Linked DNA regions of Neurospora crassa OR74A. The protein of the gene in region 1 interacts with the protein of each later gene in a pairwise test. Links are inferred from orthologs where the notes say so. Each region holds a gene or a part of one and is shown in the gene's direction. Other genes may lie near its edges. The genes, in order: NCU09813, NCU06856 and NCU00018.

Region 1 (9,816 bases):
TCCACAAGCTCCTTTATCCTGCCAGATTTGACGAATTCCTGAGATACGGCTGAGGCTTTCTCAGCGACAACTGCAGCTAGCTCCATGCACTCGAGGAAGTAGTCGCGCGACAGGGTAGCGCCGGCAAAATGTAAAGAGCTAACGAGGGCCAGAACGGTTTCTGGGATGTAGGCCTCACGAAGAGCTTGGAAGTCGGGGTCGGCTAATACGAACACATGTTAGACGAAATTCCACCCAAGGATGGGAAATACGCTAGTGAGCTTACGCTGAATGGTTTCCAGCAACCACCCCTTAAGGACTGGTTGCATGTATGCTTTGGCCGCGCGGACTTCCTTGTTCGTATGCTGCCACAGTTCGCGGGAATTGGTGCTGTCCCTAATGCGATTCAGTTAGTCGTGAACGTCGACTCGTTGTGTCTGGAATTACTCACTCCCTGGCGAGACCTGCCAAAGAGGACAAAGTCTCCATCGAGTCCAAAGCCTTAACAAGGCACTCGAGCTCCCACATGTTTCGTACTTGTGTGATCACTGCCTCCTTGTCACCGGCGTACAACGCAAGCAACTCCTCTGGAAGCTCACTCGCGGCGAAATCGGCAAACCATTCAACACCACCATCGTCCCCCTCTCCCCCGACCAGGATCCCGGTCTTCCGCCGGATGATCTCCCGGCCTGGCACCCTCTGAGAAAGAGCACGGGCGGCGCGCAAGCGTGTGCGTTCTTGAGAAAGTTAGCAGGCTGCTGCAAGACAGAGAATAGTAATATTGTAAGAATGCTCACTTAAGAAATACTTGTAGGCCCTGATGACATATGTGCATGTTTCCACGAACAAATCATCGATCAGCATGAGCCATTCCAGAGAGCAGAGGATATGTCCCTCTTCTTGATCGAATTCTTCTGCCTCGTCGTCACCAAAGAAATCTGGCTTCACTATGCGGCCGTATTTCAGTGTCGCCGGGCCGTCCTCCAGGACCTTAAACTTCCTCTTTGCCTCACAGGGCTGTAGAAGGTCGTGAACATCGCTGAGGAAAATCTCGGGTTGCCTCTTGACAAACTCCGAGACACTGATGCCTAGTCTATTCATAATGGAAATCTGCACCCTCCGTGTACCGTTGTCGAGAATGTGGATAAGATTTCGGCTGAGCGCCTCGTATACGCGCTGCCCATGTAGCTTGGAGCAATAAAGTGGTATCATCTCCTCCAGATTGGCGAGGCGGAGGAAGCTGATATAGGCTGCGATAATGTTCTCCATGGCCTCTTGATGGGCATCGGAAATGGTACGGGTCTCGCTGAGCCTATTGAGAGTAGTGAAGATGATGAGAACGTGACTGAGCACACGAAGGCTGCTGTGGTCCGACAGATTGAAGTATTTAGGGTGAGTAAGGTCATCTGGGACTTGCAGATCAACTGGAGGTATCAAGTTGGACTTCGATCGTTGATTTGCGTGCTTCGCCAGGACGAGTCCCTGATTAGTCAAATAACGGCCAAGTTCATGCGCAATAATGGCACCCTGTAGTGCCTTGGACGGCCTTGTAGCTTCGTTGCTCGTCCTCAAATCTGTCTCGAGTAAGGTGACGAGCCTCTTGCCGACTGAATGCGGATCCCCGTGATGCAAAACAGCGTTGAAAGCAGGGAACTGTTGGGCGATCCTAGCGGCCTCATCTCCACCGTGCTTGACCAGATACGAGTCGAACCGTGTTCGAAGTAGAGCGTTGTAGTGAGCAAATAGCAGGTCATCCCACGTCTCGCACACCTTCTCTACACTCGCGATATCACCGGCCAGCAGGCCATAGACCGCCCGGTCGTAGTCACTGGTTCCGCCATCCCGAGCGGTAGAGAAGCACATCCGCCTCCATAGAACGAGCGAACGCGGGTCAAAGTCCGGCTGGTCCTCATCTTCTGGGTTCGCAAGCGGTAGGGGCGTAAGAGACGCAGCTCTCCATAGCTCCGTCCTCATGGAGCACCAATCTCGAATCTCAGCCATTGAAAAGCCACGACGTAGCATCTCAAAGCAGCCCAACCAAATGGCGCGCTCGAAAAAGTCGTCCTGGGTTTCCAATTTACGAGCCTGCCGTGTGATAGCATCGGGATCGAGCTGGGTGACAAGCGTGTTGGAGCTGAGATGTGATTCGGCAAAGCCAGATGCCCTTGGGTCAAGGGATCCTTGGTACCCGTTCACGCTCTTCTGCAGCTTGATCTTGGTGCGAGTATGAAGCCAGCCATGGGCAAGAATGTCACCCCTCTCTGCGCTTTCCTGAAGGTGGCTCACAACGTCGTCTACTGGCGGTCCCTGGCTTGCACTGCTCTGAAGCCACTCTAGCACGACCTTTTGTTCCCTTGCCAAAGAGTCAGACAGCATGAAATCGTTCCACCATTGGTTGCGTGACTGTAAGGATGGTTTTGTGTGTTGTTTCAACTGAGATGTTTCGTCCTGGCCATATTCCAGGGGCAGCATGCGCCGAAGAAGATCCCAAGTTTGCGCCTCCTCTTCTGCCTTCCGATATTCTTCGTCAAAGTTTACGGCGAGGTCATCAATTTCATTATCGTCGATGTCCATCTCATTTTCGCGAAGGGTGAGTTTGCGTGGCTGACGCTCGCGGAGTCGATCCGCCCTTTTCCTCGAGTATGCATGGTAAGAGTCGATAAGCTGGAAGACCTGGGCGCGCTTCTCTTCTGTGGTTCCATTGAGGTCGGTGAGGTGGCGGTCTAGCTCTCCCGAAAAAAACTCGACTTCATCGCCGGCTCGGATGACGGTTTGCCGGTATGATGACGGCTGTTGGGCCATGGGGGGAGGTATAAGTCCTGGATGCGCATGTAGTGTTAGCAGCTAGCTGTTGTTAGGGCATTCGAAGCTCCACGATAATCGAACCTAGATCTGGGCTTTCGCTTTTCGAGGCAAATGAAAAGCTCGCGTCTGAGGTAACAGAAGGGTCCTGCCGCAACTGCGTATTAGAAGAAATGAACACTGCCGTGCGGCGTCGGCGTATCGGAGGATTGATGTTGCTCACAACTGTGGGTGCCATGTTCGCCCTTGGTCGTTACCGTATACGCGAGGTTCAAATGGGGGTAGATCGATTGGCGTGATGTTGTGATGACTGTTTGGTAGGCGCGTCGCGGGTTCTTGGTAGGGCACGGCAGACGCTTCTGTCTTTCAATCGCATTCCATGCTGTGCTTTGTCCACTTGTTCGTTGAAAGCTCCTTCCAGAAAGACAGACCGGTTGCTGGGCAAGATGACGTCCCACTCTCGGGGACTGAGATCGAGATCAATGTTGGAGTTGTGTCTACAAGGCGTAGTGGGAGCACAAGGTAGCTTTCGTGTTGTGTAGCGAAAAGGTCCAAGTGTAGTTCTACACACGCCCAAGTATGGAAAGGTAATCCATGTTGTAATAATTCACATTGACGAATTTCCAATCACACGTCGAAGCTCCAGCTGCCGCTAGCAACTCGCTTGCCGTCCGCACGACGCGTTCCATGCGGCTCAAAAAGCCGGACTGGGATCTGCGGCCGGCAGAATATGGGTCCCTGGGCGAAGACCTATGAACCCCACCCGAATTTCAAGCCCCTCCACCTGTGTGAGAAATTGATACAAAAAGCGACGGACCCCAAAAACTTCTTTGGTATTTTCTTCTTCTTCTTTTTTTTTTCCTTACAATGTCCACGGCATTCCTATTAGAGTCTCGGAACAAGACCATCATTTCTTGTTCAGGCCCATGAGGTCTCTCGCGTGCTCAAGGATCGCCCAGAGGAATACCGCACTTTCCGTTTAAGTTACCTAACACCTTCACGGGCGTTTAGGTGGACATATCTGGACAAGTGATACATTTCGACTCCTCTTGTTTTCCTTCATGTAGCCTTCTTTCTCTGTTCCATCTTGAGCCGTAGCAGGCTCGCTTTGGGGCAGCTAACTGTTGACGCGCTTTCGCTGTTCTTTTCGTAAAACGCGTTGCAACACTCGTAGAGTGCGTCTATCTGTTTCTGGCATTTGCTCTCATCAAATCCGTTTCTGGTCAGGCAATCTGCGGCGTGAAGTGAGGTCAGCAAACTGCGAGTTCTGAACGACACAGGAGTCAAGCTGGTCATCCTCACTTTGTATCGCGCACTGCAGGCACGAAAGAACCGCATGTCAGCACACCACGCGTGCAAGCCGTAACAAAAGAACAAGGGAAACATGGAACAAACCGCGCGTGGATGGCATGGCGGACTGGCTGCGAGGTCGTCTTGCAATGTCTAACAAAGCAACATGAACGGTCAGCAGTGCCTCAGGGGAGAGCCGAGACATTCTGTAAGGGGAGACCTGAAGCTGGTACTGCGCCTAAACCCACCATGGTATCGAAATTTGAACGGTCGAGAACTCCGTCTGGTTGGAAGCTGGATCGCGAAGAAGTCAAGAACTGGCAGTTAGACGTACCCTTTGCTCAGGTGTTCATTAAATGGAAGGTAAAAGCCAGAGCTTCGAGTGGGACTCTACGCTCGAGGATCTCCCTCCTGCAAGTTTGGAATCCCCACAACCTAAACAATCCCGGTGCTTCGGTACCCCATTCTCCAGTCCAGTTGCCGCGCCTATCAGTAAAGGAAAACGGGTGGATGATGTCAGGAACTCTCCGGATCGAAAACACTTATCGGTGACCACCACTGCGTCAACCTATCTGTACCATTCTTCTACCAGCCTCACTACAACCTAACGCTGGAACAGGCAGTTAACCGCGGACTAGGACTACAAGGAACTGTTCATTACTATAGGGCTTGTGCGACGCAAGGTCGGGTGGTCTGCAAAGATGAGCGAAAGATTGGTATTCGAATGGTTGACCTAGAAGTAGTGCCAAGTGGCGGACAGTGAAATACTTGGGCACCTAGTTCTGTGGGCTTGCAATTCGGTGTATGAACACCTTCACGAATTGGCCTTCCTCGGCCCTTTCGTCTCATGTTCACCTTTTGGACCAGGTACGGGTATTATACGCATGTGTCGCATTTCAGTAGAGCCTTAAGGAGCGCAACTTACCACAAAAGTTGGCCAGGTTGAGAGGAGGCATCAAGGTTTCGTACAAATATTGGTGTTTCAAGGCTGGCCCCACCTGAACTTTGCGTCTGCTGCAGTCTTACAAACCGCCCTCCAGCCGTCGTTTACTGCATTCGCCGCAACCACGCTTCCACCTCAAAAGCACGACTTGACCCGGTGCACCTCGCCTTCCACTTCTCTAAATTCTCACGGACCTACTTGACTCGACGCTTCCCAAGACCAGAAGTCTGCCACAGCGTCTTTCAATACGCCTATCTACTGCAGTAAGACAATCCGCTTCTCCTCTCGAATTTTGCTGTTCCTCCACCAATTTCTGCTCCATCTCGTTGTGCGACAACACAGGCAGGACGAGACTCTCCGGCGCGTTGACACGCGCGCAATTTCTGACTTCCATCGCAGCCTGGAACTCTAGCATTTCCGAACATCGACACTTCAAACTCGGCCCTTCCAGTTTTCATTGACGAAATTTCTTTGCGACTAGACTTCTGCCTAGCATCTCCAACTCCCAAGTCATCAACATGGCGGACAACGCTGAGAACGGAAGTGGAAACGCTGGCTCCGATGCCGCCGCCCCCGCCGTCGAGCACCTTAATATCAAGGTGACGGATAACAACAACGAGGTCTTTTTCAAGATCAAGCGCAGCACCAAGCTCGAGAAGCTCATGACGGCGTTCTGCGAGCGTCAGGGCAAGACGCTGGCTTCGGTTAGGTTCCTCTTCGAGGGTCAGCGCGTACAGCCCACGGACACCCCGGACACTGTAAGTGAAGTCTGGCATGCACCTAACATCTGTGTTGATGTTGCTGCTAGCCCGGGAACACCATGGTAGACGAAGCACCCGAGCACGCCAGAAATATGTTTGCTAACCAGGTCCATTGCTACCATAATATAGCTCGAGATGCAGGACGGTGATTGCCTGGAAGTTCACCAAGAGCAGGTCGGCGGCTGGTAGATAAAAGGCGATCCTATACTACAACTACAAGGAGATGGGAGAAAGAAAAAGGCAACAAAAAAAAATACAAAAAAGACAAAATTACAACCGGCCATATGCATAGTAGCAAGCGGAACGACAACCGGCGACTTGATCACCAGAAGATAGCTCGCGAGTGGTATCCGATTCTATAACAGGACAGGGACTGGGTGGGAGTTTCGGAATGTGACAGCAGGATTGGACACGGGGTTACGGAGAACATCACAGCTTTTGCCATTGTCACTGGACGCACGCACTTTTTCTACTTTTGTTCCTATTCGCCGCATAGGTGATGCCTAGGAGAACCGGAGTTCGGAGGGTGCTATCATTGGGGTCATAGGGCGGAGGGGTATCGAGGAACATTGATTTGATTCTATTTATACCATACTTTGACGGGACGCCAACTGGCTTTGCCGGCATCTTATCTTCTGTTTGAAGCGTAAACACGGCATCTTTCCAAATGGCCTTCTGCCCCCTTTCTTCCCCCCTTTTTTCCAGTCCCAGATGTTGTAACAATACTGCGAGTGCTCGTTTATGATGCCATGCACATTCTCGAGCGCTGTCGAGTGTTTATTATCCTAGGAATTCAAGGACTCACATTGTTGTATCTGTCCCCGCTCAGCCAGTGAACCCGTTGCAGTGACATATTCGTAGACAGAGCCTTTACTCTCCTCTACCATCATCTCCAATTTGCCCAGCTTCGATCGTCGTTCCCGAGCGCTGTGGGATATCGTCAACTCCTTGCTTATCTTCCAAGGCTGATTTAACCATGACGTCCATAATGCCTATCAGGTAGGCTACGCTGACAAGTCCAAGGCAACCCCGAATAACCACACCATGACATCCTAGTTTCGTGTGTTGATGTGTTATTATTATAATATTGTTTGTATCTCGATACTCGTACATATGAACCCCTAAACACTATTGAGTAAAAGAAAATGTAGAGCAACTTGAACATCCTGATTCCAATGCTATGCAGAAGAAAAAAAAAAGGAAGAAAAAAAAAAACACCCTTACAATGCTTTGACCTTTGCCCCTATATCCCTATACTCTGTCCTGGACTCTTCTTTGTGTCCGTCATTGGGAAAAGTGGAAGAACCCATCCACTTCCGTATGCCTATGCTTTTAACTCCCTCTCCATGCATCCAGTACAAAGAACAACCATCTCACCCGGCACCGTGCCGGCCCTCCCTTCCCTAGGGAATATCTGTCCATCATCGAACCCGCCGCCGCAGTCGGCACAGCGGAAACACTCATCGTGCCACTCGCCGCCAAGCGCCCGAATGTACTGCCCGATGACGGCCTTCCGGCACTTGCGACATTTGGGCGCCCTGCGCTCGGTGCGCTTTGTCTGGCACGACACGCACCACGCATAACCGTCCTTTTCGATATGCGTCATGCCGCGCTCAAATGGGTCCCCGCACTCGGCGCAGAAGAAGTGGCCAAAGTGCCAGTGGTGGCCCAGCGCCACCACGTGCTCGCCCATAATGGGCGTCGTGCAGTGCTTGCACCGCGGCGCGAACAGTTCGTGCCAGTCCAAGTGGCAGTAGAACCGGAGACGCGCATCACCGTCCTCGGCCATGGTCTGGCCCGGCGTTTCGGGGAGATGTTCGCCTGCGGTCCGCCGGGCGATGCGCTCGAGCCGCGCCGCCCGGTGCTCATCCGGTTCTGGAGATATCTCGAGCGCCTCGAGCGACGTGCCGCATGAGTAGCATGTGAAGCACTGCGGATGGAAGCGCTCCGTCATCCCGGCCAGTGAGACGAAGCGGCCTTCAATGAAGTCGCCGCACTCGTGGCAGCGAGCCGTGGCGCGGCTGCCTGCTGGTTTGGGCGCCGGTGACCAGTGGCTGCGTGGCCGAGCTGGCATATGTCGACCTACGGCTCCCGGGGTGGGGAGCGGGCGTCGGGAGCTGCTGCTATTGGAGGTGCTGGATTTATCGTCTGGCGTCACGATTACTGGAATGCTAGGTCCATCATCGTGAGATCCGCCTGGGAGGACAATCTGAGGGATGTTAGATCGTGATGATGAAGCTGACTCCGAGACAGCGATGGAGGGAACAGATATTGAGGGGATAGAAGATGAAGGCGGCGGTGCATTTATTTGAACACTGGGTGGGGTTGGGACTGGGAGTGGGCGTCTTGTTGGCGACGAAGACGACGGTGGGGTTGAAAAACCATTCGAAACAGGGATAACAGGGACGTTCGGCGTCGAGCCCGGCTGCTGTCGTGGTCGCTGGGGTTGCTGTGGGAGTGCTCGCTGCTGCTGTTGTTGTTGGTGGTGTTGCGATTGCCGCGGCTCTTCTTGGGGTTGCTGCGACTGCTGGCTGCGGAAACGTCCAGGGACGAGCGGCGTCGAGCGGTCGTCACTCTTGCCGAATCTCGACGGTCCTTCTGGCGTGTCATCAGCAGCCTCATCAGGAGCTTTCCATTGTCTGTCAAAGCTTACGATGGGTCGACCGGGATTGTCACTGACGGCAGACGGCGTAGGTAGCTTGACGCTGCGGTCTTTCAGCTTCATGCTTGTGGCTTGCCGTATCTCATCGCTGCGGATTTCCATGCCGTGCTTTCGAGGAACCTCTTCCTGCACCGGTTTCTTTCTTTCCCAAGGCAAAGCGGGGCGTACGTTGGTGGTGTACTGAGGGTTGCGGGATTGGGTGACAGGATTACGGTGAATCTCATACTTTTCGTACCTAGATCCGTCTTTGGGAGGGGACGAGGCAACGCCATCCGCTGCCGGGGACGTTTCAGGGGCAAACTGTACGCGATTCAGGGGGTTCTTGGGTTTCGCTCCCAGTTGCTCAGGAGTTCTGATTTGTGCAAAGTTATCCAGGCTAGAAGAAGATGACCGCGCTTCTGATTCCTCCGAAATCTTGTCACCTGGGAACGGCTTCTGGGGCTCACCAAATATGTCCTTCTTCGAACCACTCCGTAGGTAACCGCTACTACCTGGTAAGGTGCTGTACGACTTGGAGTTACCCGATTCTGGGGAGCCATCTCGCACACGCTCATGGCTCGCCCTAGGTGTCTCCGGCAGCCTGAAAGACAGCGGGCGAGCTGAAGCTGGCGATACTGGGCTTCGACTTGACCCTTGTCCTTCTTCGCCATCCGTCGAACTTCCCGACATTGAGTACGTGCTAGTATCTCTGGCTAGACCAGTGGGGGCCACATCGCTGCCGTATTTGACGCTGGCTGTGCGGGCATGGGCGTAGCTGTCTTTGCGCAAGTGAGGCTTATACCGATATGGGGTGCCTGGCTCGGGCGGTCTCTCTTTCCCGGGGTTTTCGTGTTGCCATACTAACTCAGCTGCCTCGGCCAGCGCGGCTTCGTAGAGACGCCTTTCCTCCTCGGTTTGCTCCGGAGCCTCATCGTTCCCAGAGCCGGGGCCGACATCCGGCCTAATCAGCGGGCCACCACTGGCGTTCTTGCTGTGTCCCTTTAGATCCATCTCCTCCATAGCCTTGCGCAAAGAAACAGCCTCCTCCTTTTCCATCCATCTCTGACCGCGTTCGATATAGGTAGCAGAAGGTACCACCTCTGATGGCTTCAAGAGCCGGGCTGGACGGTCTGGGTAGTAATCTCTACCTCGGGTCACGTTTGAGTACTTGGAGCCAACGCTGGCGGTCACGGAGCTGCGGCCAGGGGACAGCTCGGTTGGGCTGGATGCATTGTTCGCTTCTGAAGTGCCATTTTGGATGGGAGAGGAGGCGGTCTCGGAGAGGCGAGGGGCTTGTGTGAAAGATGACCGGCTGCTAGGCGAGGGACTGGCAGCAGTAGTACAAGAAGTATCGCGTTTCGAAGCGGGCAGTGGACGTGCACCACCAGGCCTGTTAAGTC
Region 2 (10,322 bases), on another chromosome or scaffold:
CGCGGCGACGCGCACTGCAGCTTTGAACTTCCGTCGTCGTACTTCTCGCTCTTTTTCAAGCACATTCCATCATTCACTGCCAAACCATCCCTGCATCCACCTGCAAACTAATCCATCACCACCCACCCACCGTGATACCCAAATCCAAGCGACCTTTCTTGGAAAATTCTGTAACGTCAATCGGCATATTCAATATTAATATCTTGCAAATCAGTGGGCAATATGGCTGCTGTAAGCTCCCCACCTACCCCCCAACATCACAATACCTTGACGGAACACCAGCTGACCTCTTGTGCCCATGCCATAGCAGGTCGTTACCGTCGGAGAGAGTAAGGACCTCCGGGGTCTCAACCTCATCGCAGCGCACTCGCACATCCGCGGGTTGGGCGTCGATGCCGATACACTCGAGCCCAGGGTTGCCTCCCAAGGCCTTGTCGGCCAGGAGAAGGCGCGTAAGGCGGCTGCTGTCGTTCTTGAGATGATTAAGCAAGGGAAAATTGCCGGCCGTGCTGTGCTGATCGCCGGTCCGCCCAGGTTAGCTCGTCTTGCTGTGCCAGTCCTCATGCGCATACCGTTTCGTGTACTGACCTAGCTATGGAAAAACAACAGTACGGGAAAGACTGCTCTGGCCATGGGTATGGCCCAGTCCCTCGGCACCGACGTCCCTTTCACCACCCTTGCCGCTTCCGAAATCTACTCTCTAGAGATGTCCAAGACCGAGGCCCTCACCCAAGCATTCCGCAAGTCGATTGGTGTCAGGATCAAGGAAGAGAGTGAGATCATGGAGGGTGAGGTGGTGGAGATTCAGATCGACCGGAGCGTTACCGGCCACGCCAAGCAGGGCAAGCTTACGATCAAGACGACCGACATGGAAGCTATTTACGACATGGGCAGCAAGATGATCGATGCTATGACCAAGGAGCGCGTCATGGCCGGCGACATTATCTCGATAGACAAGTCATCTGGAAAGATTACCAAGCTGGGCCGATCGTACGCAAGGTCGCGCGACTACGATGCCATGGGCGTCGACACCAAGTTCCTGCAATGCCCCGATGGCGAGCTACAGAAGCGCAAGGAGGTCGTCCACACAGTAACGCTGCACGAGATCGACGTCATCAACTCGAGGACCCAAGGCTTCCTCGCCCTCTTCTCGGGCGACACGGGCGAGATCCGCAGCGAGATCCGCGACCAGATCAACACCAAGGTGGCCGAGTGGAAGGAAGAAGGCAAGGCCGAGATTGTGCCCGGTGTTCTGTTCATCGACGAGGTGCACATGCTCGACATCGAGTGCTTCTCGTACATCAACCGCGCACTCGAGTCCGACCTGGCCCCCATCGTCATCATGGCCAGCAACCGGGGCCACTCCAAGATCCGCGGCACCGACTACAAGAGCCCCCACGGCCTGCCGCTCGACTTCCTCGACCGCATTTCCATCATCAACACGCACTCGTACACGCCCGACGAGCTCAGACAGATTCTCACGATTCGCGCTCAGGAGGAGGAAGTCGACCTTACCCCCGACGCGCTCGCCCTGCTCACCAAGATCGGCGCCGAGGCCGGCCTCCGGTATGCGAGCAACCTCATCACGACGTCGCAGCTAATCTGCGCCAAGAGGAAGGCCAAGCAGGTCGGCGTTGAGGACGTCCAGCGCAGCTTCAAGCTGTTCTACGATCCTGCCAGGAGCGTCAAGTTCGTGCAGGAATCGGAGAAGAGGCTCATCGGCAGTGATGGCGTGGTCGATTTCCGTGTCAATGGCGGTGCTACGGGAGAGCCAGCGGCTACTGCGGCTGGTGGTGATAGCATGGATACCAGCAGCTAAACAGTCATGGGACAATGCGCTACAAGGATTAATGAATAATCTTGGGGTTATGATTTTGTTTCGTCTAGGCGTTTAATTGGGATGGCTCATCAAAAAGGCGTCTTTGTTATGATAACACTGTTTTCTTAAGCTTTATGTGTGCCTAGTCGTGGTTTTTTGTCATGTTACTGATTATGGTGATGGCATGGAGTCTGCAAATATCCGTTTGTATCATACAACGAATCGAATCAAAGTCGAAGCGTGGGGTAGCAGGAAAGGGCATAGTAGGGACGAATGACGACCAGCTGCTGAGGAGTTCCCAGCATGGTGATAAGGCTTTTGATTCTCTCGTCGCTTGGAACCGGGGGTATACTATCACACACAATCGTACAAAACCTAACCATGATGATCATACGAAGGCTGCAACCCTAGACCACTCCCCCTCCCCTCCGCCCACCGGCCTGAACTCAACCGCCTCCTTGAAGTATCCCGCATCCTGCCATGCCTTCATGGTGGGCCCGTCATACGGCCCTTGGCTTCCTCCTCCGTCTCTCCCATCTGTCCACCTAAACTCCCACATTTTGGGTTGTCCGTTTAGTGACGATGGCTGCTCTTCCTCCTTTTCAGGAACAGTAGGCTCCACCCAGGTCTCGCCCGTCTCTGCTCTATACTCTCTCACCAACCACTCCCTCTCCTTATCGTAAATATCCGGATAATCCCTTCCCAACAACTTATCCGCCGCCTCAGTAATGGCATCAATCGCCTCCCTGATCTTTTTCTGCTTCGGATCCTCCACTTCCTCCTTCTTGTCATCCACGTCCATCGAATCGATGCCCTGTTTCCTTTCCTGCCTCTTTTGCTTCCACTTGGGCACCTTCTTGGGCCCCTTGGTTTGATCTTTTCCAAGTCTTGCCAGCGCCTCCAGCGCCGTCTCCCCTTTTTCGAGCGTCAGGATCAAGTTTCTAAGCAAGTCCCCAGTGGCGATCTTGTCATCTTCCCTCTCCTGCGCGCGCCTTTCCGCCTCGCGCTTCTCGTGCGCCAACGCCGCTTTTTTGATTTCCTTTTTGGACAAGCCTTCCAGCCACTTATCGTGCACGGCATTTTGGTCGGCCGCTTTGCGGATGTAGTTGCCCGCCTCGTCAAAGGCACCCTCTTCATTCTCGGCTTGCATGTTGAAGGCGTCAATCTTGGGCGCATGTTTCTTCAGTCCGCCTAGGCCGACCTCTTCGTCTACTCCCTCTTCGGCGATGGCGGCTGCTATGGCTTCTTCGTCGTCGTCGTCTTCGTCTTCGTCGTCCGATTCGGCTGAGGCGGCGGGGTTGATGTTGATGGTTCCGCCAGCTTTGGAAGAGAGGTCTTGCCCTTCGATTTCCGAGTCGGCGAGGAAGTGGACGGATTTTTTGTCCTTCGCAGAGCCACCACCGGCTGTCGTTGGTTGAGCACCGTCGTCGTCTTCCAAATCGCCAAACATGTCTACCTCGTCATCTTCATCGGCATCTTTCCCTGCCCCGTTGGAAGGCTTGTTGTAATTATCCATCATCTCGGCCAGATCCACGTCCTCGGCGTCTTTGCCCTTCTTGCGGCTCTTCCCTCGGGCTTCCGCGCGGTCTTCCAGGTTGTCATTGTCGGAATCGGAATCGTACCCATCGATGTTGACCGCGCCGCGCTTGGTGGCTCGGGAAAGCCCACCGATCACGTCGGCGGCAAGAACCTCCTCGTCAGCTTCGTCGAGGTCGTCATCGTGCGCTGAGGGCGCGAGCGCGGAGGGGTTGCGCACGTCGAACTTGACTTTTTTGTGGGACGGCCCGCTGGAGGTGTCGTCGTCGTCGTTGGAGCGCGATTCGCCGTGGTGGGCGCGGGCGTAAGCTTCGCTGGCGCGTTTGGGGCGCGCGGCGGAGAAGCGGGAGGACATGGTGGTGGCTGTTGTCTTCAATCTCGTGTGTTGGTGTGTAGGCGTTGACGTCAGCGTGTAAAGGTTATGTCGTCTTGATAGAATGGCCTATTCTGCCCCTGTATCGCAGACTTTGTGTAGATATGGCCTGAAATGATGACTGTTTTGCCTGGGTCGACGGCGAATGACAACTCTACAAGTAGAGGATGGTGTTTAAGAGAGGATCTAGATGGCGAATTGGGAATATCAAGGAAGAACATCACTAGAGGTACCTTACCCGTTGTCAGCCCCAACGGATAACATGGAGCTCTCCACTGCCATCAAGGTCCAGAGCGTTCTGCAGTGGACAGGCAGCGCTCAAGGTACCTTTGACCTAAGCGTTTAAGAAGGGGGGGAGCTCGCGCCACGGCAGCACGGTTTCACAGATCTGACGCCACGGCGGCACCTTCTCACCCCGCCAATCCGGGCCGCCGAGGCGGCAGATACATAGAGGTAGGTACTGTACGGTACCCATGCCAGGGCTCCAATTATTACCTAACGTGCCTGTAACTTTCGGGCCCAGTTATGTCATCTGCGTTGTTGCCTTTGGAACCTTCCACGCGGTCAGGTTATTTCAACATCGTCGCAACCTCCCTTTCACTATCGCTTGTCACGCTCTGCTGTTCCGGATCCCACTACCTATTCTGCGAAGCTTACCTCGAGATCTCCCCTCTTAATACAAATTCCCTGTCGTTTCCCTTTCTGCAAAATACTTTACTCCATCTCTAGCAGCTCCCTCGCGATCATGGTAAGCTATCCTTGTCCTCACGCTCGATTATCAAGACAGCTTTTCGACCCCTCTATCTCTTGAAACATTCTAACATGTGCCCATGACAGTATGGAGACATCTACAGTCGCGCCACTGGTCGCTCTCGGGGCGCGCAACGCTTCGATGAGTACTACCGCTGCTACCCCCTTGTCATGGCGCCCGGTGCCGAACGACCTGAACTCAACTACGGCTCCAAGATTCTGCTCCCGCCCTCCGCTCTCGACAAGGTTTCGCGACTACACGTCCAATGGCCCATCATGCTAGAGCTTATCAACGGCTCGCAGGGCACCCACACACACGCCGGTGTTCTGGAGTTCGTGGCTGAGGAGGGCAGGGCCTACATCCCGCAGTGGATGATGCAGACCCTCAAGCTCGACGTGGGCGACATGATTCAGATCAAGACGACATCTCTCGAGCTTGCCAGGCTTGTCAAGCTCCAACCGCAATCGGTCAACTTCCTCGACATCAGCGACCCTCGTGCCGTCCTCGAAAAGGCCTTCCGGAACTTTGCGGCGCTGACCAAGGGCGACGTTTTCAACTTTGAGTACAACGATGAGATCTACGAAATGGCGGTACTGGACGTCAAGCCGGAGACGGCCAAGATGGGTGTCTGCATGATCGAGACAGACGTCAGCGTCGATTTTGCGCCGCCAGTTGGCTACGTCGAGCCTTCGCGACAGACACAAGGCAGTGGTACCAGCACACCACGCAACGGAAGGGCTGTTGGCGGAGGACTTCCGGCGGGTGGTCTTTTGCACAACCAGGGAACCATGGCGCAGGCTATCAACTACGATGCCATCGCACCAGGAGCCACCACCACGTCGGTGGGCAACTTTCAAGGTGAGGGTCTGCGGTTGGCGGCGAAGAAGGGTAGCAAGACGGGAACACCGAAGCCGGCGACGCCGGTGGCGGGTACGTCGACCAACGTTAAGGACGTGGTGCTGCCCAGGAGGAAAAACAACAACGGCCCGTTGCCGTTGCGTCTGCCGCCCAACAAGCTCTTCTTGGGCTACGAGATCAAGCCTGTCAAAACTGCCGCAGATAAGGAGAGGGAGGCGGCGGCGGCGAAGCAGCCGCACTTTGCGGGCCAGGGACAGACGCTCCGGGGAGGAGTCCCGAAGAAGAAGAGCAGCGATGGTGACGACAAGGCGGCGCAAGGCGAGAAGAAGCCGACAGAGAGCAAGGGAAGGCGACTTGACGGCAGGAATGTCTAGGGACAAACTTTCGTTCAACAAGCTTGTTACTAGATGGTTTGATGCATTGTCGGGCGTTAATGGGAAACAGGGTCATGGGAAAGGGAGGTTCACAGTCAAGGGATCACGGAACGTTTGTAGCGTCATTACGAATACACATGGACAGGCCACGATGCGTTTCAAGATAGAAAAGGGCTGTATATGGGATGTTGAGTGCTGAACCGCACGATGTTTACATAGGCCCATGCAGCTGACTAGAATTAGTGAAAAAGGAAATGATACCTCGATGTCCTCCTATAGCTGGAACATGCCAAGGTGATGTTCAACAAGGTCCGCTGGCTCAATGGCAGAGCGTCTGACTACGAATCAGGAGGTTCCAGGTTCGACCCCTGGGTGGATCGAGTTATCTTTTCTTTTGCCAGCATAGTATGCTGCGGCGTCACCAATTTATTTAAAAAAAAAAAAAAAAATTTTAAATTTTTTTTTTCTTTTTGTTCTCTTTTTGATCCCTTGAAATGCCGGAATTTGACTTTGGTGCAAGATGGACATGATACAAAGAGTCCCTGGTTTTTTTTCTTTTTTTTCCTCATTGTGGACGGTGCATCGAGAGCGGCTTGGTCCGTCTTGTCTTTATCTTGAGCAGTCGCTTTGTCAGTGTCATGCCAGGAAGGTCCGGAGTTCTGCCTGCATCCACTTCGAGGTCTCTCCTTCCAGAATTTTGCATCCTTAAAGATTAGTCATATGTCAACGATGCTTGGAACGAATATAGTCGACAACATCAACAGCATGACATTGAGTTCTGATGTTAGTTTAGTACCAGCGGTTTTTTGGCTTTTCCCAGTTGCACTTCCAAGAACTCGGTCGGTCGCATCATTTGAGATAAGTCCTTGATTAGCTAATGTGGGTCGTGCAGCAGGCTGGCTGGGTCCCGTGATTGGTTGAAAAGGGACGAAATCGAACGGCATTGTCGGTTTAGCACTTCCGCACAGTGAGCAAGCAAACCCAAAGCGCCTCCCACTTCCAGGGCATTTATTGATTGACTGACAGGGTTGACCACTTCCTGTTCCGGACTGGTTCTGTGCTCACTGCGACCGGACCATTCATCATCAGTCGCAAACCGAAGCCATCTTCCGACTCGCAACCATCCGTCTTCTTTAAACAACACCAAGGCAACAAAACAAACTGACTGCAACCTTGCTGGATGCACCTTGCCATATTCTTTCTTTGCTACTCGTACATATCCACAAACAAACAATCAATTGCAAACAAACCCTTTCGCACCACTCGATGCCGCTTGCTGAACAGCACAGCTAGTAGCCATGTCCAAGGTGGAGGCCCGGCGGGCTTCGGCGCGAAGCCGTACTAGATCATCTGCATTATCGGCGACGGAGGCGTTAGAAGTAGCGGCGGCAGTGGGTGGTGGCCGTAGTCTGCGGCCACGCCGAGCCGGGAGTCAGGGGGGTGGTGCTGTGGGAGCCGCTGTTGGTGTTGCAATCGGCCGCGGTGCGACATCAAATCTGGGCCCAGCGAGCCCACTAAGACGAAGCGCTCGCAGCGGGGATTCAGCAGCAGGGGCAGCCCGGAACAGTGGTGGTGGTGGTCCACGTCGTTCGATCAACGGCCGTAGAGGTGATGACAACAACACCAGCACTACAAATCACAATATTCGCCCGCGTAAGTCGTCCATCAACTATCGTGAAGACTCTTCCGACGATAGCGACAGTGCCTCTACTACGTCTGATGAAAGCGACAGCGAAGAAGAAGAAGAAGATGATGATGACGGAGAACAAGATGCACGGCAACCCGCACGCAGGTCCGCCATATCAAGACGGGGGCGTCCATCTCGGACCGAGCTCAACAATAAGTCACGAGCAGTTGCCTCCTCCGGTCGCCAGGCGCTAGGAAAACGGCGCCGTCCCCGGTCCGGCTTCTTCCATGAAGACACCGACGGAGAAGATGACGACATTGTCAACACCGACCAGGAAAGTCCCCCCACTCCTCGCAGGGGCAGAGCAACGGCCACATCCGTAGCCAGAGCCAGGAAATCGTCAGTTCCACGTACCCCAGAGCGAAAGAGAAGAAGAGACACGCCGGCGACTGCCACTAAGAGACGCACGCCCGCTTCGTTCAGGAAATCTAAATTGGACCTTGTCCACTCTGGCGGTGCCGAAAAAGACACTGCCGAAAAGGAACCCAAAGTCATCCCTCCATGGCAACATCTTCCCTATGAGCTCTGGCTCTTGATTTTCAAGTTTGCATCCGCTGAGCGTGATCGAGATGCTGTCAACCTTCTCTTATCTGCGAGCCGTCTGTGCAGGGAACTTGCGGAACCAGCCCTGACGGCCTTGTATTACTCTCCCCCCTTGCTCACGCGGAAAATGGCACATGGACTCGTGGCGCTCTTGTCCTCGGATCCCTCAAAGATGAAGTATCGCTACAGGTGGAAAGTAAAAAAGTTGCGCATCGATGTTGAGGAGATTGCTTCCAAGACTTATAAAGGGCAACATCTCGACTGGGAAGCCCTTTTCACCAATGTCCCACAGCTCATGTCTATCGACTTCTTCCATGCAAAGGACGATGCCCCATTCCGATCTCTTGAAGCGAGCCTCAGATGGAAATATCCAACTGCATTGTGGAACTTCCTCAACGGCGGCGACCCTCCGGGAACCAAGCACAAGCCGCTCGAACTCGAGGCCTGGAGATGGAACGGAAGGTTGATGACCCCCGACATGACTTTGCAAAGTCCTGCCATCATTCACCAAACTCCGGCTTTTTCAAAGCTCAAGAAACTTTGCCTTCAGAACTTCCAGGTTCCTTCGATGCCCCTGCATAACTGGCCAGCCGTTGTCCAAGAAGATGAAGGGTTCGAAAACTTCTTGATCAGCGAGTTTGCCCATGCCATTAACGTTCTTCCCCAACTGGAGTATCTGTCTATCGAATCCTCCACTATTGCAAACGACTACTTGCTCCGTCTTCTTCCCAAAACCTTGAAGACGCTGGAGCTCGTCAACTGCTGGGAAATCACTGCCGATGATTTTTCGGAATACCTTCTGACCCGTGCCTACCATCTTGAACATCTCTATCTAAAGCATAACCAGTCCCTCAGCTTGAGTTTCCTCACTGTCCTGGGCACTGCCTGTCCACACTTGCAAACGCTGAGCGTAGATCTGAAAACATACAACCACCATGAATTCTACAACGACTCAGACCCCAGCTATGACGAGGTCCTCAGCGTCCAAGAAGTCCCCGAGTGGCCAGTGAGTCTGCGCACCCTCGAGCTTCAGAACATGCGCAAGTGGTCCGCCGACGCAGCCGAGAACCTCTTCCAGTCCCTGATCAAAGCCGCTCCCGATCTTCCCGACTTACGCATCATCGATATCAACGCCAAACTCAACATTCCCATCCGCCAGCGTTCCGAAATGCGCGATAGATGGGAAGCCCGTCTCAAGGGTGTCTTTCTCCGCAAATGGGAAGATCCCAAGCCACCCTTCACACTACGCCCCGTACCAACACCCACCCCCAACAAGCACAAGCAGATAATACCCACCTTCTCAACGAGCAAACTACCCCCTTCTGCTACCAAACGGTCCCGCACCGATAACTGGGTAGCCCAATCCATCGAAGCCCAACAAGGGCCTTCGTCGTCCTCTCTCTCTACCCGCCGAAGCGCCCGCATCGCAGCTTTATCCTCTGGCTCCTCCTCATCATCATCCAACGGCGGCACACCCTCGCCTTCACGCGGCCACAGCGCCCAACGCGGCGAACGCGAAGTATCCGTGGCTTCCTCGCTATCATTATCAGCAGAGGAATTATCTCTTTCGCCTAGAGAAGCCAACGTAGCGGGCGAGATTCTCTACAGACATGGCTGGTGCGAGAAGGTGGAGCTGCAGTTGGACAACCAGAAGTTGACGGAGCAGACGTTGACCATGGAGGACTTTGTGGATGGCAGCGGCGATGATGATGAGGAGGATTCCGAGTGGGATGGGATGGACAGGGATGACGATTATGGTGGTGGGGGGTATGCTTGGTGATACATATTGATTTTTCGCAACTGACTGCTTTGTTGGTTTGGTTGGTTGGTTGGTTGGTTTGGTACATGAAGTTACCCGGAACTGGGCCTCTTACACACACACACACACACACACACACACACACACACACACGCACACACACGGGATTCACGATTTGGGGGGGTTGGGTACCTTGCTTATTTGCTTTCCATATCATATCCTCTGGCGCTCGGTGCTTGCTGGAGGGATTATTAATTTGCTTTTTTTTATATCTCCCGCAGAACGGTTGATACAGCTTTCACTGGGGCATACAATGGCGCTTGCTGTCTTGTTTGTTTAATTTAATCTTGTACGCCTTTTCGACAAGGCCCTTTTCAATTACATTTTACTCGCAAGGGACAGCCCGTTCCTTGTTTTTGTTTTGTTTTGTCAGGCATCTATGTACTGCCGTGTCAATTTACATTTTTTTTTTTTTTTTTTTTTTTTTTTTTTTTTTTTTTTTTTTTTTTTTAAGCTTTCAAGGGCGGACTAGCATAGCCTACATTATGGCAGCCGATTGCAAAGTACCTCTACTACAACATGGTAATTGCCGTGCACACACCATACATACATGGCAGTGGTG
Region 3 (10,767 bases), on another chromosome or scaffold:
CCCATCACTACCACTGCGTCGTATGTAATTGCGCAAAAGAGGGACGGCAGTGAACATGATTGATGCTGGGAAACTGTTGGCCATCGAAATCAGGCACCCGTTTAACGTCCCGTAGACTGGATACAGTCGCCGTTGACGTGAGGCATGACGAGGACACAATGGGGCAGTGAGCGGGAAACGGTGCCAGTTCCACACCCGGCGTTAGGGAGAGAGGCTCGATCCCTGAAGTCATTAATAATACAGAATCAGGGTGAATCTGCACCATTCGTTCGTTCGTCGCTTTTATCGGGTCTGATGCTTGTTGTTCACTTGTTGTTGAGGTTACATCTGCTTGTCACTCTCACAGCCCTGTTGAGGGGTTGACCATCAACCCATGAGATCAAAGCAAGGGTTGCTGACTGCCGGGGGCTCGGGCCAAATATGGGTGTTAAGCGCTTATGCTGCGATCTCTAACAACAGAGTTAGCACAAATGCTGTTTGTCTCTAGGCTTCACTAACACTCATCATTAACAGCTAAGCGCACCACACAAGAGCTGTCTCTATCTCTAGGGCTATGTGGGGAAACAGCAACTCACTCACCTCCCTCAACACAACTTGCCAGTGCCACTTTCAGTTTCTGAACGTGGACACCAGCGGTCTTCAGATCCAAGGAGATAACTGAAAGTAGGTTATTTCTATGTTTCGTTAGCAGGGTTTATAACACCGAAACATTAGCGAAGCAAGGTGGTTCTACCATCTTTAGCGTAAGAGTCATTCCTGTTTCCCGGTCCGCGCATCCACGATAGCATCTCTCCCATATTGGTACATCACACTATTGGTTGACCCCCCACCTCTTCCTTATTGAATCTGCGCATGATCTTTCGAAAGGTGAGATTCTTAGCTTTGTCACTATTCTCCCCATGCATTAACCACGTACACAGGCCATGAGTACCCTGTTGGCCCGGCCACATCAAGCGCCAGTCAACATCTACCAACCTTCAACACAAGCTGCCGTGAACGTTAAGTATCAAGCTACTAACGACTGTAAACAGAGCAAACAGGATGACAGTTCCATGCTCGCCTTGATAGATTTTACGGTTAACAGATCCTCGCAAACTGACGTGAGAGAAATTATACCACCAGGCATGACAGAGTTGTGATGACCCGGCTGTTATCCAATCTGTCTCTTGGATATTGGTCCAGTATCTGTCCCGCCCGACTTCCAGCACCGTCGTACTTCAAACTTGTCGACAGATGAGACCATGCAACCTTAATGCACGGTTCTGCTTAAACTACGCGGCAGGCTGCGTAACGCGCCCTTTGTCCAACGTGGTGCAGGCACTGGGTTATACGGCTTTCCATCTGATTGAAGTACGCTTATCATGGTTACATACGTGAGTCCCTTAGAAGCAAGCCGTCCCACTGGGCAGCACTACCACAACTCGCCTTCTTTCTCATAAGTTTTGCTTTGATTCTGCGTCTGAACCCGGCTGAGTGGTCACAGTGACGGCAGCAGTGTCACGTCAAAGCCCCCCTCCGGTGAATCGGCACTGTTAGCCACACCGCCCCTCCGTATTTCGTGTTCCGTCTTCCGAGCCACTCCGTCTACGAGTTCCATCCTCGTCCACCAGTGTCTTCATTGTCTCCGTTCAGCAACCGCAGCAGTTTAAGGTTCCTCTATATGGAACATGAAGTGAAGATATCTCTCAGTTTGGTCTAGAGACACCACATTGTCTAGTTACTGACAGTCTGACTCAAAGGCCATGCCATCAAGCACCATTTCCTACAAAGGTTGGATAACGCTGAATGATCTGGAAAACATTCTCGAAGATGAGACACAGGCGGCCATCTAATTCTCTAATTTTTCCTCGAAACATACAAGGCTTGCCTGGAAGCAAGATATCTGTCGAATTTCATCGCGAAAGAAATTGAACGACTCACTAGGCCCGAAACGGCCTCAGCTTTACGCATAATTCAAGTCCGATTTGGGGGCATAACTCTGTTTTGACGGTGGGTAGATGCCCCGTGAAGTGTTTTGAGGCTGAAAGCGATTGCCTTGTGCCAACACAACTCTCTCCCCCTCCTTTGACGGTCCATCATCGCTATGCGGGACGGCAGCTTCGAACCACTAGCAAGCTCCAGCAAAGCAAAATCAGATGGGAACAGCCTTCCTTTATGGCAACATGAATGTGAACTACACCCCCAATGACAACACAAAAACTACTCGTACAGTTACGTGCCGCGACCATCATTCCTCCCCAAGCTCTTCATTCTGAGCAGGTTCAGCCTTCACACGACATTCGTCTCGCCCTGCCCCACACCGCCAAACCTGGTCAGGAGCGATACTATTCTGCTGACGGAATGGCGGGCTCTTTGGCTGATTGGCAAAATTGATAGCGTAGCTTTGAATTTACTGTACATATAGTATGTTTTCGGCACCACGCGGGAGTAGAAAGACTGGTCCTGTCCCAGTCCCACTTGTGTTGAAGTGCGAGCACCTCGGACTTTTTTTCTTTCCACTCACCCACCGTGCAACCACTCACGTTTTCCCCATCTCTATACAACCCTTTCACCATTTCCCACAACCTGCTAGGCTCCTGAACACACATACGCGCGTCTGATATCCACAAAGGGAGCAAGATAATTTTAGTCCGACCAGAATAGACGCCATAGGGCTGCCGTTGCCGAACTGGGTGAACATCCTACATACTAAAAACGCCCACATACTACTTACTTGATGTCGTGATAGGGCAAAGTACATCAATACACCCACTCATTCTCACGAAAACGTGCTCTTTTGCATATACCTCTTGAATTTAAGCGCGCGTCTAGGGGAGAGATGATTTGGCAACGGGAGATGACGAGAAACTTTGAAGTGATGCCGGACGCGGTCCTTAAAGAAAGCTTCCATCTCTTCTCCCAAAGAAATTCAAGGTAGAATGAGACCACCAGCATTTGATACTTTCCATTTGAAAGCCAGTCTCGATGGCTCAAGGCAGCCAGGTGAAATCGGTAGTGTCCCTTTCTATTCCCTAACCCATTGAGAACATTAAGACGTCTACATAACAATCAGAGAAAGAGAGAGAGAGAGAGGCAGGACACTTGTGTGGCGTTAACTCAGCTGAATGTCTGACAACCTACCTAGAACTGTTCTTACTGACATGCACATGAAGAGCAGACCAAGGTCGTCTCTGGATATATTAGGCAGAGCATTTGGAGAAAACAGAGCCGTGTCACAGGCATGCGCTCATACATCATACGTACCATCCCTTTCCCCGTCTCCTGTACTTGAGTAAATCCAATCAACAAACATGTCAATCTTCAACAGCGAGCTCGAATTGGTGTCCATCACCACTTTACCACTACACCCTTTCATTCTACTCATACTATACCTTACCCTACCTCTACGGTGCCTAGCTTCTACTTCTACCCCTGGAGCAAGGCATAGCTTACATTACTAGCCCAAGTATAGTCACACGTGCGAACATTCGACGTCCATGCTGGCACGGAAGGCGTAATCCCATCTTGCCACTCGTACGATTCAGTCCTCGTCGCCCTAGTGTCTCATCCAAGCGAGCCAAATTGGCATCAGATCCCCATACGCCACAGACCGGACGTAGTTACATCCGATCAGTCAGTAGAAATCATTCAGCCCCTCTGCCTTTTTAAAACTGTGATATCAGACAAGAACGGCGCTCATGGGGCCATTGAAGTCCATCGAATGGCTACAAAACAGCAGCAGAGCAGGCAGCAGAATTTGACTTCATGTTTGCTAAAAGGCGAGAGAGGATTGGTACCTTACTTGGTTTCGAAGGGGCGGAGATAAGGGGATGGAAATTCAAATGTACCAGAACCTACTAATATTGAAATGTGATGTAGTGACGAGGTGAACGAGGCTCGAGGCAGGAGGGATGGGGCAAGGCGAGCCGATGTACAGAGCCAAGGTTCTGTAGATAATAGGAACGTCAAACGTTCGGTTGAGTCCACGCCTCTACTATCAGTGAACTCAACATGTTTGGCTGTTCGTCCTGGACGTGACACCGAGGGAATGGGCTTCACATACATATCCATCAACAAATCCAGAGCGCGTTGCGCTTCCTTACCTAACTTTGCAGTAGATACGTCTCTAAAGCCTTCGTTATTTAGCTAAAGTCAGTTGGTGTTGAATGTTGTCACGTCTTCCATATCGACGCTGCCTCGGTGATATTCTGAGCTCAAATCCGTTGACAGAGGGACACAAGGGTGATCTTGTCCTGAGTTTGACGAAGTCCTATCTTTAGCAAGAGTATTAGAACTCAATCAGGCTCCCGGGTACCTCGTGACTGGGGTGGGTAGGGGCAAGTTGGGTTGGAAGGCAGAGGGCCGGGTGTAGTTGACTGAATATAGGTAGTCCTCATGTCTAACGAGCTGTGCCCGGAAAACTGCCAAGCCTTGCTCACACTGACTCCACGAGAGTGAACGTCGTTGAAGTCGAGGCTGGTTTGATTGTTAGTCTGTTGCCTGAAAGGAAATGCCACACCCTCCGAGCTCCAGCCCCATTCTGGCTCAATGCGTGTTGTACAGTAGGTAGTAACGGTATATCGGATCCGGATCGTGGAGGCATTGGACTATGGGACCTTGAGGTCCCTTTGGACTCTGAATGGCCAGGTGGGCGGCGCGCCGCAGCGTCTTTGGGGTCACCATGTACAGCGGGGTAGCTAACACCCATGGTACTACACTACTGTAGTGTATGTATGTAGTACGTTACAAGGGTACCGAGCTCCCTGGCTTCTAGCCCCGCCTTCTTCCAGCCGGGCGCCGAGCAGTCCGGGGAGAGACTCCGGGACGTACTGGGTATCGGCGTGCCGGGGCGGAGCCGTATGGCCGGCGCGCGCCTCGTATAAGCACGGGCGGGGACGTGTCCTACAACCCCTGAGGACCCGGTTCTCGGTCGGGTCGAGGGTCGTCGTTTGCTCTTGTCACTCGCTTGCTCCACCCAAAGTGGCATGCGGGTTCCTGCGACGTCCGGACAAACGGACTCTCTCGAATCTCGATAAGACGACAGTTGCAGCCTGCCAACTTTCCGCGTGTTGTCCTGTTCCATTTCGTTTTCTGTGATACCTACCTAGCAGCATCGTTGGCCTGTGGCCTCTGTACAGGCCATCCGGTGGTGCATGCGACAACCACTGACCGCCTTGTTGTCCGTACTGCGGGGGAGGGGCAAATAGGAAATCCCAGGGCAGCATGTCTCGCTTCCTTGGAGAGACCTGACAGCCTGGCCATCTGGACATCGGTGCTCGAGCGGTGCTGCAGCATCCGAACCTCGATTCACTGTAAATCTCGAACTGAAGAAATGGAACGAACCCCAAGTCAAACAAGATGAAGCTTTGATCTGTCAGCAGCTTTGTAGAACGCATTCGAAGGTTCCGGCCGCACCGTTGCTTTACCAGGTGTGTCGGGCGACCTGAAGATCCTCGGAGCGATGGCAGAAGGCGTGCCTGGAGCCCGGAACAGCCAGGGCATGGAAGCAGACAGAGTGGCAGAATGGAAGTGTACCTATGGGCGAAAAGCACGGACCTTTGTCGCCCCAGAAAAGGCTCCGCTCATACTTCGTCATCCAAATGGTCGCCTGGCGGGGCGGTTTGTCAGTCAGTGACACTGACAGTTGAATCAGATGCCCGCTGTTGCTGTTGCCGCTCCCCAGCTGCTGGCCACCAGCTGCTTGCCCCTGGTTGGCTGGCCTTGGAGGGAGCAAGCGGTCGGTGCCACTCGCCGGCGCAGCGGTGCTTGCTTGCTTGCTTGCTTTGGCTCGAACCGTCCTTTCCATGCCTGGCCGTGACAACCTGAACGTAAACGAAACCAACTCCAACACCAAAACGCAAAGGCACTTCGTCCCTCCGACTGGTCCTTTTTTTTGTTTCCATCCCAACACCATTCACCTTCACCTCGCCGTCCAACCTCCAAAGAATCCCTTTATCAGCGGGTCTTGAGGCTACGAATTCTGGTTTCTTTTTCTCCAAAACCACTTCTTCCCGCTACATCCTCTCCGTGGATTAGCATCACCGTCCGCGATACCCAAATACCACATTTATTCTACTGATTCCAACACAAACGTCAAGATGGCTCCCGAACCTAATCCCGACCACGTCGAGCAGAAGAAGAAGGTCAACTTGATGTACGTGAAGCAGCGACGCTGATCGCGGGAGCTCTCGAAGCTGTCGCGCCCCCTCATCGCGAATGACGCCAAGCTGACTTGAAGCCAAACAGGGACGCTTCTGGTGCCGAGCACAAGGCCGTATGTTCAACCTCGCTTGCCCGCCAAAGACATCTCGAGAACCACTCGTGCTGACCGATGGAACAGGAAGATGATACCGCCACTGCTATTCTCAAGAAGAAGAAGAAGCCCAACCAGTTGATGTAGGTTGACGTTGAAGATGCGGGGCACTGCAACCTGAGCTAACACATATGCAGGGTTACTGACGCCGTCAACGATGATAACTCGATTATCGCCCTCTCCAACAACACCATGGAGCAGCTCCAGCTCTTCCGTGGTGATACCGTTCTCGTCCGCGGAAAGAAGAGAAAGGACACCGTCTTGATTGTTCTTGCCGATGACGATCTTGACGATGGCAGCGCACGCCTCAACCGTGTCGTTCGCCACAACCTCCGTGTCAAGCACGGCGACATCATCACCATTCACCCTTGTCCCGATATCAAATATGTTAGTCTATAACCCGGTCACCTAGTCATAGAATGGGCACCTTGCTGACACAGCATCTCCTTGTAGGCCAAGCGTATTGCCGTCCTCCCGATCGCCGATACCGTTGAGGGCATCACCGGATCTCTCTTCGACGTCTTCCTTGCTCCCTACTTCCGCGAGGCCTACCGCCCTGTCAGGCAAGGCGATCTCTTTATTGTCCGCGGTGGTATGAGGCAAGTCGAGTTCAAGGTCGTCGAGGTGGACCCACCAGAGTACGGTATTGTCGCTCAGGATACCGTCATCCACTGCGAGGGCGAGCCCATCCAGCGTGACGAGGAGGAGAACAACCTCAACGAGGTTGGTTACGATGATATTGGTGGTTGCCGTAAGCAGATGGCTCAGATCCGCGAAATGGTTGAGCTGCCCCTCAGGCATCCTCAGCTTTTCAAGTCCATTGGTATCAAGCCGCCCCGTGGTGTCCTGCTTTATGGCCCTCCTGGTACCGGTAAGACTTTGATGGCTCGCGCTGTTGCCAACGAGACTGGTGCCTTTTTCTTCTTGATCAACGGCCCCGAGATCATGTCCAAGATGGCCGGTGAATCCGAGTCGAATTTGCGCAAGGCTTTCGAGGAGGCTGAGAAGAACTCGCCCGCTATCATCTTCATTGATGAGATCGACTCGATCGCCCCCAAGCGTGAGAAGACCAACGGCGAGGTTGAGCGCCGCGTCGTCTCCCAGCTCCTTACTCTCATGGATGGTATGAAGGCCCGTTCCAACGTTGTTGTTATGGCTGCCACCAACCGTCCCAACTCGATCGATCCCGCTCTCCGTCGTTTCGGCCGTTTCGATCGCGAGGTCGATATCGGCATCCCCGACCCTACCGGTCGTCTTGAGATTCTCCAGATCCACACCAAGAACATGAAGCTTGCCGATGACGTCGATCTCGAGCAGATTGCTGCTGAGACCCACGGTTACGTTGGTTCTGATATTGCTGCCCTCTGCTCCGAGGCTGCCATGCAGCAGATTCGTGAGAAGATGGATCTCATCGATCTGGACGAAGACACTATCGACGCCGAGGTCCTTGACTCTCTTGGTGTTACCCAAGAGAACTTCCGCTTTGCTCTCGGTGTCTCCAACCCCTCGGCTCTTCGCGAGGTTGCCGTTGTCGAGGTTCCCAACGTCCGCTGGGAGGATATCGGTGGTCTCGAGACTGTCAAGCAGGAGCTCAGGGAGAGTGTCCAGTACCCCGTCGACCATCCCGAAAAGTTCCTCAAGTTTGGCCTTTCGCCATCTCGCGGTGTTCTTTTCTACGGTCCTCCTGGTACCGGTAAGACAATGTTGGCCAAGGCTGTTGCCAACGAGTGCGCAGCCAACTTCATTTCCGTCAAGGGTCCCGAACTGCTTTCCATGTGGTTCGGTGAGTCTGAGAGCAACATCCGTGATATCTTCGACAAGGCTCGCGCTGCTGCTCCTTGCGTCGTCTTCCTCGACGAGTTGGATTCTATCGCCAAGGCCCGTGGTGGCTCTGTTGGTGATGCTGGTGGCGCTTCTGACCGTGTTGTTAACCAGCTTCTTACCGGTAAGTTGATTCTTCCTTGGTTTGTGCCATTCTGCTGTGCATACTAACCTGAGCTATAGAAATGGACGGCATGACCTCCAAGAAGAATGTTTTCGTTATTGGTGCTACCAACCGTCCCGAGCAGCTCGACCCAGCGCTCTGCCGTCCCGGCCGTCTCGACTCCCTCATCTACGTTCCCCTTCCTGATGAGGCGGGTCGTCTCGGTATTCTCAAGGCTCAGCTCCGCAAGACCCCTGTCGCTGCCGATGTTGACCTGAACTACATCGCTTCCAAGACCCACGGCTTCTCTGGTGCCGATCTTGGCTTCATCACCCAGCGTGCTGTCAAGATCGCCATCAAGGAGTCTATCACCGCCGATATTCAGCGCACTAAGGAGCGCGAGGCCGCTGGCGAGGATGTCGAGATGGAGGATGAGGTTGAGGACCCCGTTCCTGAGCTCACCAAGCGCCACTTCGAGGAGGCCATGTCGATGGCTCGTCGCTCCGTCAGTGACGTCGAAATCCGTCGCTATGAGGCTTTCTCCCAGCAGATGAAGAACGCCGGCCCGGGTGCCTTCTTCAAATTCCCTGAGGGTGGTGTTGAGAGCAGCGGCAACGGCGGTGCTGGTAACTCGTTTGGTGATGCTGGCAACGATGATGATCTTTACAACTAGATGGGGGAGGGATTCAAGACTCACAGTATTAGAGCAGTCTTCCGCTAGCCTTGGGGCTCTACATGTATGTTAATATGCGCTCAAAGGATAGGAGTTGACGAGGTATTCCTTCAAAGTTGATTGACAATGTCTTTGCATAGTCTCTTTTGTTTGGCCCATCCAGGGTCGATTCAGAGCAATTGGGCACAAACGATGTGACTTATAAGATTCCACATAACAGCGGTACCCTCAGCGATTGTTTGGCATTCGGATTTGGTGACTGAGAGAAAATCATGCAGGCCATGACTTATGTTTTCGTCAACCTCGCTGGCTTTGTGTTTGACTTGGTTCCACCATGCAACTGCCTCCAAATTCGGTTATGAAGATAGGAACAGTGACCCTAAACTGATGTCAACGTGCGGCTCGTTTTTTACTCCCTTCTCAGGTTGCACCAAGTTTCTCAAATTCATTCTCAACCGTCTTCCCAAGCCTACTTGTCATGTCTACAAAATCGACGGCTGACTAGTGGGCGAGCCACTTGTAGTGATCAGTGCTGGAGTTGTATCCCACATTGTGAAAGGTACATGTGCAGTTTTCTCCCGACCCGCGATGCTCGACGAGGGAGAATCTACTTTTGGCAACAGCAAGGCCGGGCAGTCTTCCTTCCATAATTGATGGTAGATAATGTCGACTATTGAGCATGTACGTTGCCTGTGATCTATCCATTAATCTCTTCCGCCGTAGTTGCATCTGGCCGACGGACTGATGAAGAGGAGGCGTAAGGCTGAACATAACAAGCCCAACCAGATGGAGCATGAGAAATTGAAGCATTACCCCAAAAAGTGAAGGAGCAAGGAAGGAACAAGTCTTCCAGAGTCGGAAGGAGTGGTATCAAAAGCAGGATCGTCCCTTCTGCGGATAGTGAGCCCTTCGAAACTGCCAGGAGACTGACTACCAATGTGCCTCATCCAAGATACTTCGGGTCTAAGGACTGACGGAAAACTCTACTGAACCCCGTCCGCATTTCCTAATGCAGGTCTGGCAGAACTGAATAGGCTGAGGGATGAGAGGGCGCGGGACACTCGAACCGCCAGTGGAAGGATGATTTGTGCAGTTGAGTTTTGGGTTTGCATATAGAGCCGTTTAGGCGCGGCATCGACGGCAGGGAAAAAATGATAAAAAAAAAAAAAAAAAAAAAAAAAGAGAAAGCCGTTGACCTTTTTCGAGAAGGGTGGCTCAAAGTCTCGGCCAACGTTAGACGGGAGGTGTTGCATACCCTTTGGTGGCAGATGTGCATGTTGATGGATTAGGGAAGGAGCGAACGGATGGGAAGTTGTACCCGGGATATATTCAGTCACCAAAAATACTAGTATAAATGATTAAGAAATTCCACACGATTTAGTAGGTACACTGCAGCCAGAAGGGGCCGGGAAGAAACTGCCGGGTTTTTTTTTTATTTTTTTTTTTTTTTTTTTTTTTTTTTTTTTTACAACCTGTTGAGAATATTGCCACTGTCAACAATAACTTCAAGCAAAAACAACAACACACATGTTATTATTGTGGTCGACAGACATTAAAAGACCCCAAAGAGAAAGAGAGCTATAGTCGAGAAAATTTCGAATTTACTACGCCCTACAAACGATTTTCTCAATCCTCATCATCAAGTCCGGGTGCCTTACCCTCTCAAACAGCACTGTACTCCAAACTCAAAAGTGCCTGAGGCCGGGGCCGATCCTTGAGAACTCAAACATGAAAACGAAGCATACCTAGGTACCCACAATGTCAACCTGGCAATGTACTTCTCAGTGAGACTGTCTTTTTTTTCTTTTTTTTTTTTCCCAATATGCTGGTTGGACCTTCTCCCGTTTCGTCAGGGACGGCATTCATTCGTTTGCTCAA

The links.
Region 2: the proteins of NCU09813 (region 1) and NCU06856 interact in binary tests that used the Saccharomyces cerevisiae proteins (3 or more experiments, as listed by UniProt). The link is inferred for Neurospora crassa OR74A from reciprocal best matches to the Saccharomyces cerevisiae genes SMT3 and UFD1.
Region 3: the proteins of NCU09813 (region 1) and NCU00018 interact in binary tests that used the Saccharomyces cerevisiae proteins (3 or more experiments, as listed by UniProt). The link is inferred for Neurospora crassa OR74A from reciprocal best matches to the Saccharomyces cerevisiae genes SMT3 and CDC48.

What each region holds. Positions count from the first base shown.
Region 1 is NC_026501.1:4,131,710-4,141,525, reverse strand, and holds NCU09813 (SMT3, variant 2), read left to right. Parts: upstream 1-5,090; 5' UTR 5,091-5,277; exon of another isoform or gene 5,278-5,495; 5' UTR 5,496-5,532; coding exon 5,533-5,772; intron 5,773-5,904; coding exon 5,905-5,964; 3' UTR 5,965-6,507; downstream 6,508-9,816. Other genes in the region: NCU09814 (hypothetical protein), read right to left, coding at 1-202, 266-375, 431-716, 777-2,798, 2,866-2,929, 3,005-3,019; NCU16378 (DUF1903 domain-containing protein), read right to left, coding at 3,841-4,013, 4,084-4,096, 4,177-4,224, 4,320-4,322; NCU09812 (LIM domain-containing protein), read right to left, coding at 7,100-9,816. UniProt on the Saccharomyces cerevisiae protein: Not known; suppressor of MIF2 mutations.
Region 2 is NC_026502.1:1,738,486-1,748,807, reverse strand, and holds NCU06856 (ubiquitin fusion degradation protein), read left to right. Parts: upstream 1-4,255; 5' UTR 4,256-4,473; coding exon 4,474-4,476; intron 4,477-4,565; coding exon 4,566-5,711; 3' UTR 5,712-5,994; downstream 5,995-10,322. Other genes in the region: NCU06854 (RuvB-like helicase 2), read left to right, coding at 223-231, 308-534, 610-1,819; NCU06855 (hypothetical protein), read right to left, coding at 2,208-3,710; NCU06857 (hypothetical protein), read left to right, coding at 7,010-9,721. UniProt on the Saccharomyces cerevisiae protein: Functions at a post-ubiquitation step in the ubiquitin fusion degradation (UFD) pathway. Has a role in the endoplasmic reticulum-associated degradation (ERAD) pathway.
Region 3 is NC_026503.1:2,300,458-2,311,224, forward strand, and holds NCU00018 (cell division control protein Cdc48), read left to right. Parts: upstream 1-5,647; 5' UTR 5,648-6,077; coding exon 6,078-6,133; intron 6,134-6,225; coding exon 6,226-6,253; intron 6,254-6,319; coding exon 6,320-6,375; intron 6,376-6,429; coding exon 6,430-6,679; intron 6,680-6,745; coding exon 6,746-8,237; intron 8,238-8,296; coding exon 8,297-8,889; 3' UTR 8,890-9,369; downstream 9,370-10,767. UniProt on the Saccharomyces cerevisiae protein: ATP-dependent chaperone which probably uses the energy provided by ATP hydrolysis to generate mechanical force to unfold substrate proteins, disassemble protein complexes, and disaggregate protein aggregates.